Sus scrofa: one gene and its partners. The protein of the gene in region 2 binds, or shares a complex with, the protein of the main gene of each other region. Links are inferred from orthologs where the notes say so. Each region holds a gene or a part of one and is shown on either strand. Other genes may lie near its edges.

Evidence for each region.
Region 1: the proteins of SPTLC2 (region 2) and ORMDL3 are in contact, whole or in part, in a cryo-EM structure (PDB 7K0O), measured with the Homo sapiens proteins. The link is inferred for Sus scrofa from reciprocal best matches to the Homo sapiens genes SPTLC2 and ORMDL3. Residues at the interface, in NP_004854.1 of Homo sapiens: Glu65, Thr66, Pro67, Met68, Ala71, Val72, Tyr75, Tyr86, Gln116, Phe118, Glu119, Asn120, Phe121, Tyr122, Tyr127, Trp134, Asp259, Glu260, Leu261, Asn262, Val267, Arg271, Ile279, Met320, Val495, Val496, Gly497, Phe498, Pro499, Ala500; in NP_001307730.1 of Homo sapiens: Met1, Asn2, Val3, Gly4, Thr5, Ala6, His7, Ser8, Pro12, Val16, Ser19, Arg20, Gly21, Ile22, Leu24, Ser25, Leu28, Phe63, Val67, Lys68, Gly69, Thr70, Pro71, Phe72, Glu73, Pro75, Gln77, Arg81.
Region 3: the proteins of SPTLC2 (region 2) and SPTSSA are in contact, whole or in part, in a cryo-EM structure (PDB 7K0K), measured with the Homo sapiens proteins. The link is inferred for Sus scrofa from reciprocal best matches to the Homo sapiens genes SPTLC2 and SPTSSA. Residues at the interface, in NP_004854.1 of Homo sapiens: Leu73, Gly77, Val80, Leu81, Phe84, Leu87, Arg88, Leu91, Leu126, Arg129, Ile130, Tyr156, Met475, Pro476, Ala477, Lys478, Gly480, Ala481, Arg484, Glu485, Asp533, Leu534, Leu535, Gln536; in NP_612145.2 of Homo sapiens: Trp15, Tyr18, Gln19, Leu21, Leu22, Val23, Thr24, Ala25, Tyr27, Met28, Leu29, Glu30, Pro31, Trp32, Glu33, Val36, Phe37.

The regions. Positions count from the first base shown.
Region 1 is NC_010454.4:22,410,346-22,414,012, reverse strand, and holds the start of ORMDL3 (ORM1-like protein 3), read right to left. Parts: upstream 2,884-3,667; 5' UTR 2,734-2,883; exon of another isoform or gene 2,659-2,733; intron 2,567-2,658; exon of another isoform or gene 2,545-2,566; intron 2,431-2,544; exon of another isoform or gene 2,307-2,430; intron 2,265-2,306; exon of another isoform or gene 2,185-2,264; intron 1,794-2,184; exon of another isoform or gene 1,771-1,793; intron 1-1,770. UniProt on the Homo sapiens protein: Plays an essential role in the homeostatic regulation of sphingolipid de novo biosynthesis by modulating the activity of the serine palmitoyltransferase (SPT) in response to ceramide levels.
Region 2 is NC_010449.5:100,636,395-100,640,137, reverse strand, and holds the start of SPTLC2 (serine palmitoyltransferase 2), read left to right. Parts: upstream 1-1,164; 5' UTR 1,165-1,266; coding exon 1,267-1,395; intron 1,396-3,743. UniProt on the Homo sapiens protein: Component of the serine palmitoyltransferase multisubunit enzyme (SPT) that catalyzes the initial and rate-limiting step in sphingolipid biosynthesis by condensing L-serine and activated acyl-CoA (most commonly palmitoyl-CoA) to form long-chain bases.
Region 3 is NC_010449.5:65,301,522-65,305,264, reverse strand, and holds the start of SPTSSA (serine palmitoyltransferase small subunit A), read right to left. Parts: upstream 2,379-3,743; 5' UTR 2,375-2,378; coding exon 2,158-2,374; intron 1-2,157. UniProt on the Homo sapiens protein: Component of the serine palmitoyltransferase multisubunit enzyme (SPT) that catalyzes the initial and rate-limiting step in sphingolipid biosynthesis by condensing L-serine and activated acyl-CoA (most commonly palmitoyl-CoA) to form long-chain bases.

The DNA of each region.
Region 1 (3,667 bases), on a different chromosome or scaffold from region 2:
ACGACTTCTGCCCATCTTCCCTAACGCTCCTATCCTGGGTCTCCCCCCGTCATGACCCAGCAGGACTGGTGGGTAGAAAGAAAGAGAAAAAGAGAAAACAGACTAGAGACAACCTTTGCCTAGACCTGGAAGCCGTCTTCTTGGTCATATGAAAACAACCCGTCCAGATGTTTTACCCATTTGGCAGCCACTCAGCTAACCCTCGTGATGACACCCACTTGGCTGCCACACCAGCAGGGCGCTTTTCTCCACCAGAGGAGACGCAAGGAGGGAGAACGCGGCCAATGGCTCCAGCTCCCACGGGTGGCTGGGGCCCACGTCAACACAGCTCTCCCAGGGACACAAAACCACACCTGTGGCCTCGCTCCTACCCCCTTTCCTCACTGCCCACCCGTCCTCGCCTTGGCCTCCTTGCCCAGCACCTGTTTCCAGGTGTGAGTTAGCACCATGCCTTCCCCTGCCCAGCTCCAAGGGCAGAAGCCCTGCAGCAGGAGGAATCAGGAGGGCTGCCCCTGATGCCCAGGAAACAATGCAGCCCAGCTGCATTCCTGGATGCAGGTAAGAAGGGGAACGAGCAGCCCCTTGTCCAGAGCTCAGCTGTCCCCGGATCCCTGTGACCAGCAGGAGGTTTGAACAGGTGGCACGTTTGTACTGGCTCACCTCCCTAGCTGAGGGAAGATCCTACCTGATAAAGACCCTAAGGTCACTGCCATGGTAACAGCCTCATCTTTCCTGGGGATACAGATGGGGGGATCCTGGAAGCACCCAGAAGGCCACCCCCCTCACCCTGCTGCAACCAACAGACCCACCCGCAGGCTCAGCTGCCCTCAATCTCTGGCTGGGATCAAAGAGCCTGCATGGGAGCTGGAATTCTCAAGGATCGGTTCCCTACTTCCGGGATAATGGGAACGATGTTCTCTTCTTAGGCGGCTCCAAACTTAGAGACCCCAGGGGAAACATGACCCACAACACACCTTGCCAGCATACAAACAGACAAACGACAGCTAGGACACACCCTAGCAGCAGTGATGCTCCTGCGGCCCATCAGCTCAACCCATTAAGCTGGATAATTGGGCCTCACAGAAACCCAAGGAACTAGAAAACCAGGACTGGCTCGGTTGTTTACCTCCCCAGGGCTTAGGGCTTCAGTTACCCTAACACAGCTCTTGGGACACCTACCATGCAAATGCTTCCACCAGGTGGAATGTTGGGGGGGGGAAGAGGGGGAAACTCGCTAAGAAGTAAGGGCTCTGAGGACTTAACTACTGACTAAGGAGAGAGAAAGAGTTCCCTGAGTCTGACCAGAAACCGCTGCCCTCCCCCACTTCTCCCTAACCTTGACCTACAAGGCTGTTAAAGTAGCGAGCAAGACCTCTAGCCCTCCCTGGTATTTTGCCCAGGAGCGCCAAGAGCCTTGCTGAGTCCCAGATCATCCCATACTCCTTCCTGGCTGTAACAGGGCATCCAACAAAGCCTGATGACTCTAGGAAGGACTCAGACCTATGACTTAACCGATTCCCAGGGAAGCTTCTTTCTGCAGCCTGAAACACTAGATGCCCTGAAAGCAGAATACCCCAGGAGACGCCCCCCCCCACCCCCAACAGACAGATGAGGTCAATAAACTAAGAAAATGACAGGCAGCAAGAAGCACTCTTGAGGCTTCTGTGTGACTAAGGCTACATATCACTTCCATTAGTGAAATAACCAACTTCCCCCAGCCCAGACGGGAGAAGTGGGGAGAAGCTGGCAAAGACAGAAAAGTGTACATACAGCAGCTGAGGCTGAAAAGTTCTACTGCCATAGCTGGCAGGTGGCTGTTCGCGTCAGTCCCTGATGTGGTTTCATAACCTGCCTCAAACCAGAGCCTGCAGCAACTCTGTTCTGTTAACCACTTTCTCGCTGGTAGTTCTTTCCTACTCCTTCCCTCTCTTCCCCTCTTGCTCTGAACACAAATATCCCTGCCCAGCCTGTCAGACACCTAAGCCAAGGCCACAGTGCCAGCAGCCAGGTGAGCACTTTCGAGTCTCTCCCCCAAGTCAGGGCAGCAAATCTTTCTCTGGGTGAGGAGCACAAAGCATCCAAGCCTGCAACCTGGACCCCAGCGGGGAGTCCCTGGCAGCACGCCAGAATGCCATTCTCATTCTGCCCACCCCCTAACCCGGAGGGCTACCGTCGCTCGCTTACCTCTCAGCTCTGGCCCTGCCTCCGGGACTCTGGGGGGCAGTGGGAACGGAAAGATGTCGAGTACAGCAGCGAACCCCTAACTAGCAAGGGGAGAGGGCGAAGCGAGGAGGCGGAGTCCTTACTATTGTTGGGGTTTTTCTGAGTGAGACTGCAAGCCGAAATGGGGGGCCTCCGCTCCGTTCCCCAGCCTGGGACCTCTCACTCGGAGCCTGGCCCGGCCTGGAGCCCCACCCCCCGCGTTCACCCAGCCCTGGAAGCTGCCAAACCTTTATCCCCAAAGCCCAGCTGCTCCCCGCCCCCCACCCCCAGCCCGAGCGCTCCTCCTCGACGCTCCATCCCCGGCCTCCAGTCCCCACTTGCCCTTTTCCCCATCCCTTCGAGTGATGCACCCTTCTCGGCTGATGCACCCCCTCAACCTCCGCTCAGCCAGTCCGGGACCCCTCCAGTCCCAGACGCCTCCTTAACAGCCCCCACCTTCTTTCCCGTCCCGCCTGCTAGCCCCCGGAGGCTCCCGGTTAAGCCACTTGGAGGCCGCTCCTCCGGACTCACCGTGCGGGGCCGGACGTCGAGGGCCCGGGAGGGGTGCCCGGGGGCGGGGGCCGCTGCTGCTCCAGCAGCTGTAATAACCCGCGGCGGCAGCCACCCCGCTGGCAGCTCGGGCCGAATCAGCGCCCGGCGCCGGCCCCCATTACGTCACCGCTCAGCGCCTGCCCGCCCGACGCCTCCTGGGAGTTGTAGTTTTTCTCCCCTGCTCCAGCCCAGGCCGCTGGGGCCGCACGGAGGTTTTTAATAGTACGTGCGCGTCACAAAGTTCAGATGGTATCGCCTTGGCGCATAACAATTCCTGCCTTGGCATCCGCGCTCCTGTGGAAATCACTCTTGCCGGGTTTTGCAGATGAAGAAACTTGGAGTTTTAAGTAACTTGCCATAGGTCCCTGCTCGCCCCCAAGCTGGACCCGAACCCAGAAATTCTGACCCCAAGTCAGATATTTTCAATTCCACCTCTCTGCCTCTGCCCTGGCCCTCCGTCAAACGACTAGCCTAGCTGTTTGCCTTGCTGGGCCCTCCTGGAAGCGGGTTTTTTCACGATGTTTTTTAGGATAAGAGTCTGGCGGGTAGAGAACGCAGTCTGTGGGCAGACTGTCTCCTGCTCAGTTGCCTCTGACCCGGGCTGGCCTGGGACCGGCCACATCCTGGGCTTCACCACATTAGATGTGGGAAGAGGACATGTGACTTGGGAAGACTCCCTGCTGAATAACTACAACCCTGAGTCCCAGTCCCAAGTCAGCTGTGTGGTTTGGGGTGGGAGGGTCTCTAGTCTGTAGTTTTCACATCTGCAGGCTCTAAAGGCTAAAGCACAGGTTTCTCCTGGCACAGATTTACCAGGTAGACTTATCAGGCACTCCTCACCACCTGCATAACCCTAGGCCAATAACATCTCTTAATCTCTGATTCCACACCTGTGTAAACCTACCTCTGAGGT
Region 2 (3,743 bases):
AGGGGGTGGGGGAGGAATGCAGGCGAAAGGGTCCATTGAGCAATTAATAATAATTAACACTTAGAAATGTTTACTAATTGCTAGGTCCCGTACAAAATACACAGCATGTATTAACTCATTAAATCCTCAGGACAATTACCATTATCTCCATTGAACAGATGAAGACAAATAGAGGTCACTTAGCTAGTAAGTGGCACAAGCCAGGATTCAAATCCAGACTGACTCTTATTCCATATTCTTAAATGTGACACTAAATTCTTTATGGGTAACCAAAAGTTTGCTTGCTATAATGTAGATCCATTTCCTTATTTTTTAATAACTAAATATAAATATATAAATATATAAATATAACTAAATATAGTTATATATAGAATAATATATATATAATATAATATAATATATATATTATGCTTCTGGTATGGGCCACATATGTGACAGATGCACAATGCCTTATTAATATAATTCTTGCAATGTCTATGAAGCAGGAAGTATTAACTCCATTTTAAAGGATTTGGCTCCCAAAGTGGTTAAATACTCAAGGTTTAGCTTCCGGTTACTGGCAGAGCTGGAATAAGGCCAGTTTCTTGACTTTCAAGGAAGTGTTCTTTTAAGGAAATTGTACAGAAACCCTGATAGGGACAGATGCGAAGGGCAAAGAGACATTTGAGTTATTACTTAAAAAATGTATTAATGTACAGCGGTTACTGAAGAATGGTGAGGGAATATCAAAAAGTGCATTCTATAAAAACACAGAATTCGCAAATTAAATAAAAAAGCCCTGTCTCAGGCTGGGATTCAAACCCGAGAACTTCCCCGGAGGCAAGGGCAGAGAGGGCCGTGTCCTGGCACTGACCTGCCCTGAAGAAGAGGGAACCTGCTCTAAACACTCGGGCTCAGCGGGGATGTCAGGTTGAAGGGCCCCTATGGAACACACCCTCGACACCTGCCAGCCGCTTTATTCTCGCCGGTGATTGGCCAGACAGGAATCCGGGGTCCGCCTCCGCCTCCTCGATTGGCCAGCAGTCCTCAGGCTCACCACCCTCCCGCGCTCCCCGCCCAGTCTCCCGCTCCCGGGCTCGGTCTAGGGCGAGTCGCAGCCTGGGAGGGAACGGGCCCCGCCCCCCCGTGACGGCCCGGCAGGGAATTGGCTGCGGCGTGCAGCCATTTCCGGTTTCGGGGTGGTGGGAGGGGTGCGGAGCGGGACTTGGAGCCGCCGCTGCTTTGCCCGCCGCGTACAGATCCTGCCTCGCGCTTGGTGCTGCTGGGATGATGCGGTCGGGTCCCGAAGGCTGCTGCCGTCGCCCGGTGCGGGCGAACGGCTGCGTGGCGAACGGGGAGGTGCGGAACGGGTACGTGAGGAGCAGCGCCGCTGCCGCCGCAGCCGCTGCCGGCCAGGTACGTGGGACCAGGCGGCCGGGCCGGGGGCGGTGGGTGGGGACACCGCGAGCTGCCCCGTGCGGAGAGGTGCCCCGGCCGGGCGAGGTCGCGGTGACCCTCAGCGGGAGCGGGCGCTGCTCAGGTGTGCTAGCGGCCGTGTCCTGGCACTGACCGGGCCTGCCCCGGGCCGGAAGGCTCAAGGGCGGCGCAGGGGCTCTCCTATCTCTCAGCGCCTGAGGTCTTCCTCTCCGCCCTAGGGAGGTTTGGGCTCTGCTTCCTCTACCCAATCCCGCCAGAAGTGGGGCCGTCCCCCAGGAGAAGCAGGGAGTGCTTTCTCCGACACCGGGAGGATCCACTCGTGGGCTGTAGATTTTTTTCTCCCAAGACTCCCTTCTATGCCCTTCAGGTAGTTGCTTCCTCCTAGAGCCATGAAGCCCTCAAGGGAAAACCTCGTTTAGGGTCCTTGGGAGGCAGAGAAAGTTAGGAGGTGGTACCGGGCGGAAACACACCCTGTCTTCTCCTACCACGTAACTACCCTCTTCTACAAGCAGGACGTTCAACCACCAATCTGCCCTTGAACCCGGGCCAGTGCCTCAAAAGCATTATGATCTTGGCCCGAGGTGAGAGCCCATCCTGGGGACCAGGTGGTCCTTTTTGACCCTTTGAGCAAGAGCGCCGTCACGCAAGGGGATTGTTTAGCCTGATGGCGACTTGTGATGAATCTTTCTGTTAATTAACCAAGGCTGAATCACCAACGAAATCCAAGCTGTTCTGAAATATTTTGAAAAGTTCTGACTTCAAGGCAATCATTACCAACTTTCCACTTCTCTGGACTGACAGTTATTTTGTTGAAATGGTTTTTAAAGACGAGGTGGTTAAAAAGATGCAAGATCAGTGTTGGTGGAAAGGAGGGTATGAAATTTGCAATTGACTTTAACACTTATAAAGAGCTCTCTCAGATATTAAGGAAATCATTTTTTTCAAAAGTAGTCTGTTCCCCATAGCAGGAAGTGTAACTGTTGTACTAGAATTTGGCATTACCATAAGTATCTGGCAGCCTCCTCCCTCAGTCATACCTCAGGAGGTATGATAGATACTGTTTGGTGTGAAACAAAAAAATAGAGCATTTCTCCCGATCTTGTTGAGATATGAAGACCGTAAGAGTTGAAGGGAAATACAAGAAAGAGACTTGACCTCCTTTGAAGTTGTAAGGCGTGAGGCAGTGTGATACACAACTTCGGGACATTTATTTTCATTTTTGAAGAGATAATAGCGTGAGACAGGAAGTGATAAGAATCAGCTCATTATAAGCCATGGGAGAAGTTGTTTTCCTAGCAACGTAAATGGCTAATAAGACAGAATTGTTGTGGTAGACACTGTAAGAGGGAAACCTAACGGTGTCAGAAAATGCAATGCAGGCCAGTACATAGGTTATTCTTAAGAGGGAAAAGGGAATCAAGAGAAAGGTGTTCATGCACTAGAGGTACTTCACGTTTAAATGCTCTTTTCACTTAACATACTTATGTTCTGAGTTGGTAAATCAGACTCCTCCCTCCCATAATCCTGAACAGTTTTTTTAGCATTGGTGGGCAGGACATTTCTTCAGAGATTGCTGACTGATAAGATGAAGAAATAGCAGGTGGCTAAAATGAACTTTAAAAATCTATGTAACTGGAAAATCTGACTTTTTAAAATAAATGTTAGTGAAAATTTTCACTGAAGGCCATTTGGAAGAATGGTCTGGTGGAATGTCCTAAAGAATGTTTAGGGCTGCAGCATCTCTTCTAGAAAACCATTTCTCAAACGTCTTTTTAAAACAAAGACTTTAGGTATGTAGCTTTGTACACTAATGCGAGGAATGTAGTCTGTGGGGGTATTCCCTCCCCCTTCTTTTTTTCTTTTTGCTTTTTAGGGCCCTACCCACAGCATATGAAAGTTTCTAGGCTAGGGGTTGAATAGGAGCTACAGCTGCCGGCCTACACCACAGCCACAGCACTGCCAGATCTGAGCCAGGTCTGTCACCTACACCACGATAATGCCGGATCCTTAACCTAATGAACGAGGCCAAGGATCAAACCAGCAACCTCATGGATTCTACTCAGGTTCGTTAAACACTGCCACGAAGGGAACTCCTCCCTCCTTCTTTTTTCTTAAGCAAAAGAAACTTCATCAATGCAAGAATATCTTAAAAATATTTTTTAAAGTTGTTTTTGTCTTAATTAAGATGATGTGCTAGTGTTCCAAGCTCTATTTTTTTTCCCCCAGTTTCTGAGGGAAATGTTGCCAGTTATGCCATAAAAATACACATATGATGTTAAGTGCACAGGTGTGTGTACTTTTACTAAAACAGTGTAAAGTGGTTTTTA
Region 3 (3,743 bases), about 35 Mb from region 2:
TTTTATTTTTAAAAAAAAGGATAAAATAACTTTTATTTATGCTTACAAGGGGTTTTTTGGGGAGGGGGGTTTTGTTTGTTTCTGTCTTTTTAGGGTCATACCCACGGCACATGGAGGTTCCCACAGCCTGGGTAGAATCGGAGGTGTAGCTGCCGGCCTATGCTACAGCCACAGCAACACAGGATTCGAGTCTGTCTGTGACCTACACCACAGCTCACGGCAACGCCGGATCCTTAACCCACTGAGCTCCTTAACCGGCTGAGCGAAGCCAGGGATCGAACCCACATGCTCATGAATCCTAGTCTCATTCCTTAACAGCTCAGCCACTACACTCCTATGCTTGCAAGTATTATAACAAAGTATTTTCAATTCTCCACTTCCCCTCAACAGCATGGTTACAATGTTACTCAGTGAGGCCCTCAGGGAGTGTCTCACTGGTTACAAAACCTGGTCTTTTCCTTTCCCAGGGATGGCTGCCAGCAGAGAAAGGGGACTTCTGAAACATGTTAAAAACTCCCCCTCCAGAGGCGAAAGTCAATAGGACCACGAGGTTGCGGGTTGGATCCCTGGCCTCGCTGTGTTAAGGATCCGCTGTTGCTATAACTGTGGTGTAGGTCACAGAGGCAGCTCCAATCCTGTGGCTCTGGCATAGGCCAGCAGCTGTAGCTCTGATTAGACCCTTAGCCTGGGAACCTCCATATGGCGTGGGTGTGGCCCTAAAGAGACAAAAAAGAAAAGAAAAGAAAAAGAGAGATGCTCTACATTTCAGTATACAGTTTACTATACATTTTACAAAGAGGTCCTCATTAGCTCCAACCTATAGAACTTAGAGTGAAACTGAACTGTAGTAACAAATAAATGGTGTAGAAAATTAGAGCATACTTTACCTTCAAACTTTAAATCCAAAACATGCATTCTGGTTCTTAAATTCCAGGTTTGTAAAGAAATGTCAACAATAATAAAACTAAGTTTGCTTGTAAGCAGCTAAGATACCTCAGAAGTGGTGAAACAAAAGACTCTGCTTTTAGTGCAATCTTATGCCTGTTTAATATAAATAAACACACTGATTAAGCCTTGGAATGAAATTACCTCAGTCATTCTACCACAATGCAATAATGCATTTGCAAAGTTGTTCAAAGTTGTTCTGAAGCTACTCCAAACTAAACCACATTGAAGAGGAGAGGCCCTATAGGAAGCAAGCATGCTACGTAAATTATGTTCCTCATTGGCCCCCAAGTTAAAAAAAAAAAAGTTACATCTAATTATTAGTGTTTATTCTAGAATAATATCAAAGGATCTCAACACAGACAAGTGGAGACACTTCGGGAAGCATTTCTTCACAACCTTGAGTTATTAACTGAGGTTATGAAAGTTAGATGCCTTAAGATAACAGGCAAACTGCTTAGCAGAGTTGCTTGGCTCACAGTAAACGCTCAATAGTCGGACAAGTAGTTATTGGCGATCTATTAAACGGTTTCAAACACTACCTACAACTAACCACAAATTCCTTTCGAGCTTGACTGCTAAGAACTGTGCAAATGGCAAATTAACGAGTAGAATGCACTTTTTAAACTAACCATCATGAAGACCAAATAGGTACAATTTAAAAAATTGCTTTCTAAAACTATATTGGGACGCCATGAACACAAATTCACAACCGGATTTAAAAGCTGATAAACTGGTTAGCATTTTCATTAGAACTAAAGCCAGGTAAATCAGGGACAGTTAAAGGTCAAAGCCGTCCGAGCCGGGAGCAATCTGCTCCACTTACACCTCCCACAAGAACAGGAGACTGAACCAAAGGATGCCACGGCTGAAGTGCAAGGGTAGGCACACCAGGCACACATCGCCGGAGGGGAATCTCCTCCACTAATAAAGACGCTTCTATTTCGGGTCAAGTGACTCATCCGCGACCTCGGATCTCAAGAGTTCCCGCCGCCTCCCCACCCCCCACCACCGCAGGAGCGTCACCCTCGGCGCCGAGACCTCGGCTCCGCGTGCCCGCCACGAAGAAACGAGTCGGTGCGCGGCTCCCGCGGGGCCGCCTCTCCGCCCTCCCGCCGCCCCCCTACCACCCAGCCCTCCAGGGCCTGGGCCCCGGGAGGATGCGGCCCCGGCTCCGCGCCCCCACCGGGCCCCGAGGCCCGGGCAGGATACTGAACACAGTCCGCTCCCACGGCTCCAGCATGTAGAGCGCCGTGACCAGCAGGTACTGGTAGTAGAACCAGGACATTTGCTTCCAGGCCCGCGCCAGCGCCATCCCGGACAAACCGCCACCCGCGTTGCAGCTGAACGTCAGTCTGTCCGGCCGGCCTCCCGTGCGCGCCCTAAACCCCCGGCCACCAGGCCCGCCCGCCCGCCACCCCGCGCCCATTGGCCCGCCCGGCCCGGCGCGTCACCCGTGGGCACGCCCAGCTCCGCGCGCGCTCGGACCGCCGGCCGCGAGCCCCGCCCTGCCGGCGCTCATTGGCCAGGCCTCGGCCTCGCGCCGTGTCCGCCCCCTCGGTGTTTCCGCCCTCCCCGGGCCGCGCCCACGCGAGCCGGAGAACTGTCCCCGCGAGAGCGCCCCGCCGGGCCCCGCCCGGCCCAGCCTCGAGCGGTAGTTGGTGGGCGGGGCGTTGTGCCCACTGGGGGCGGGCGCTGGCTCCCTTGTACGGTGGGTCCACCCAAGTCTTGCCCAGAAACAAGGGTCGAAGAAATATTTGTGAAATACCAGTGATGCCTTAGGCGTCCTACTGGGCTGGAGGATTACTAGTGTGAACAGGAACGTAATACGTTCCTTACCTCGTCGGGTACGGTTTACCATCTAGCGAGGGAGACAAGCGGTCAGCACACACATGCAATCAGAGCTGTGATCAGTGCAGAGAAGGAGAATAAGGTGCTCGGAGAGGATGCAGAGGTGAATAGAACCCGGTCAACGAAGTTAGGGAAGGCATCTGAGAAAAAGAGATGAACCCTTGACCCTCTTCCTCCCTCCCCATGCACACATGCACTCAGACACACAAAAACACCCACATAGACCGACATCTGTGCATTCCTGAACCTAAAGACAAAAGAGATTACCCTAAATACATCTATCTGTTCACTTCTTTTAGTGTTTCTAGGTGCTATGTAGGTCAAGGCCAGGAGAAAGACGCAGATCTTGTGGGTTCTGCAGGCGACAGGCCGCTTGCAGTCTGTCTGTAGGCAGGTACCTCCAGGAGATTTGCCCTTAAATGTTCAGGTTTTTCCACTGGCAAATGAGCCAGCAACAATGCACTCACCTTCAGGAATGAAGACGCACAGTTAGTGAGATAATTAAATGGCCTGTCATTGAAATGTTAAAAGTTTTCTAAATAGCCTTTTGCTTAAACTTTTAAAACTTTACTGGTTGATAACTATTTATGCATTTAGACTGCTGTCGAGCTAAACATAAGGGATAGAAAGACAGACAGACTGAGATCTGCCTTCATAAATTACCTGGTCTACCAGGGAAGAGAAGCAAGTTAACGGATTACAGTGAATTGTTGTAAAGGGTATTTTTATGTTATGTGTAGAATGCTATGATAGCCCAGAGAAAATGAAATTGGTATTGTAAAAGTCTTCTGGGTTTTTTTGTTTGCTTGCTTTCTGTTTTTGTCTTTTTAGGGCCACACCCACTACATGTGGAGGTTCCCAGGCTAGGGGTTAAATGGGAGGTGCAGCTGCTGGCCTGTGCCACAGCCACAGCAACGCCAGATCCAAGCCATGTCTGTGACCTACAT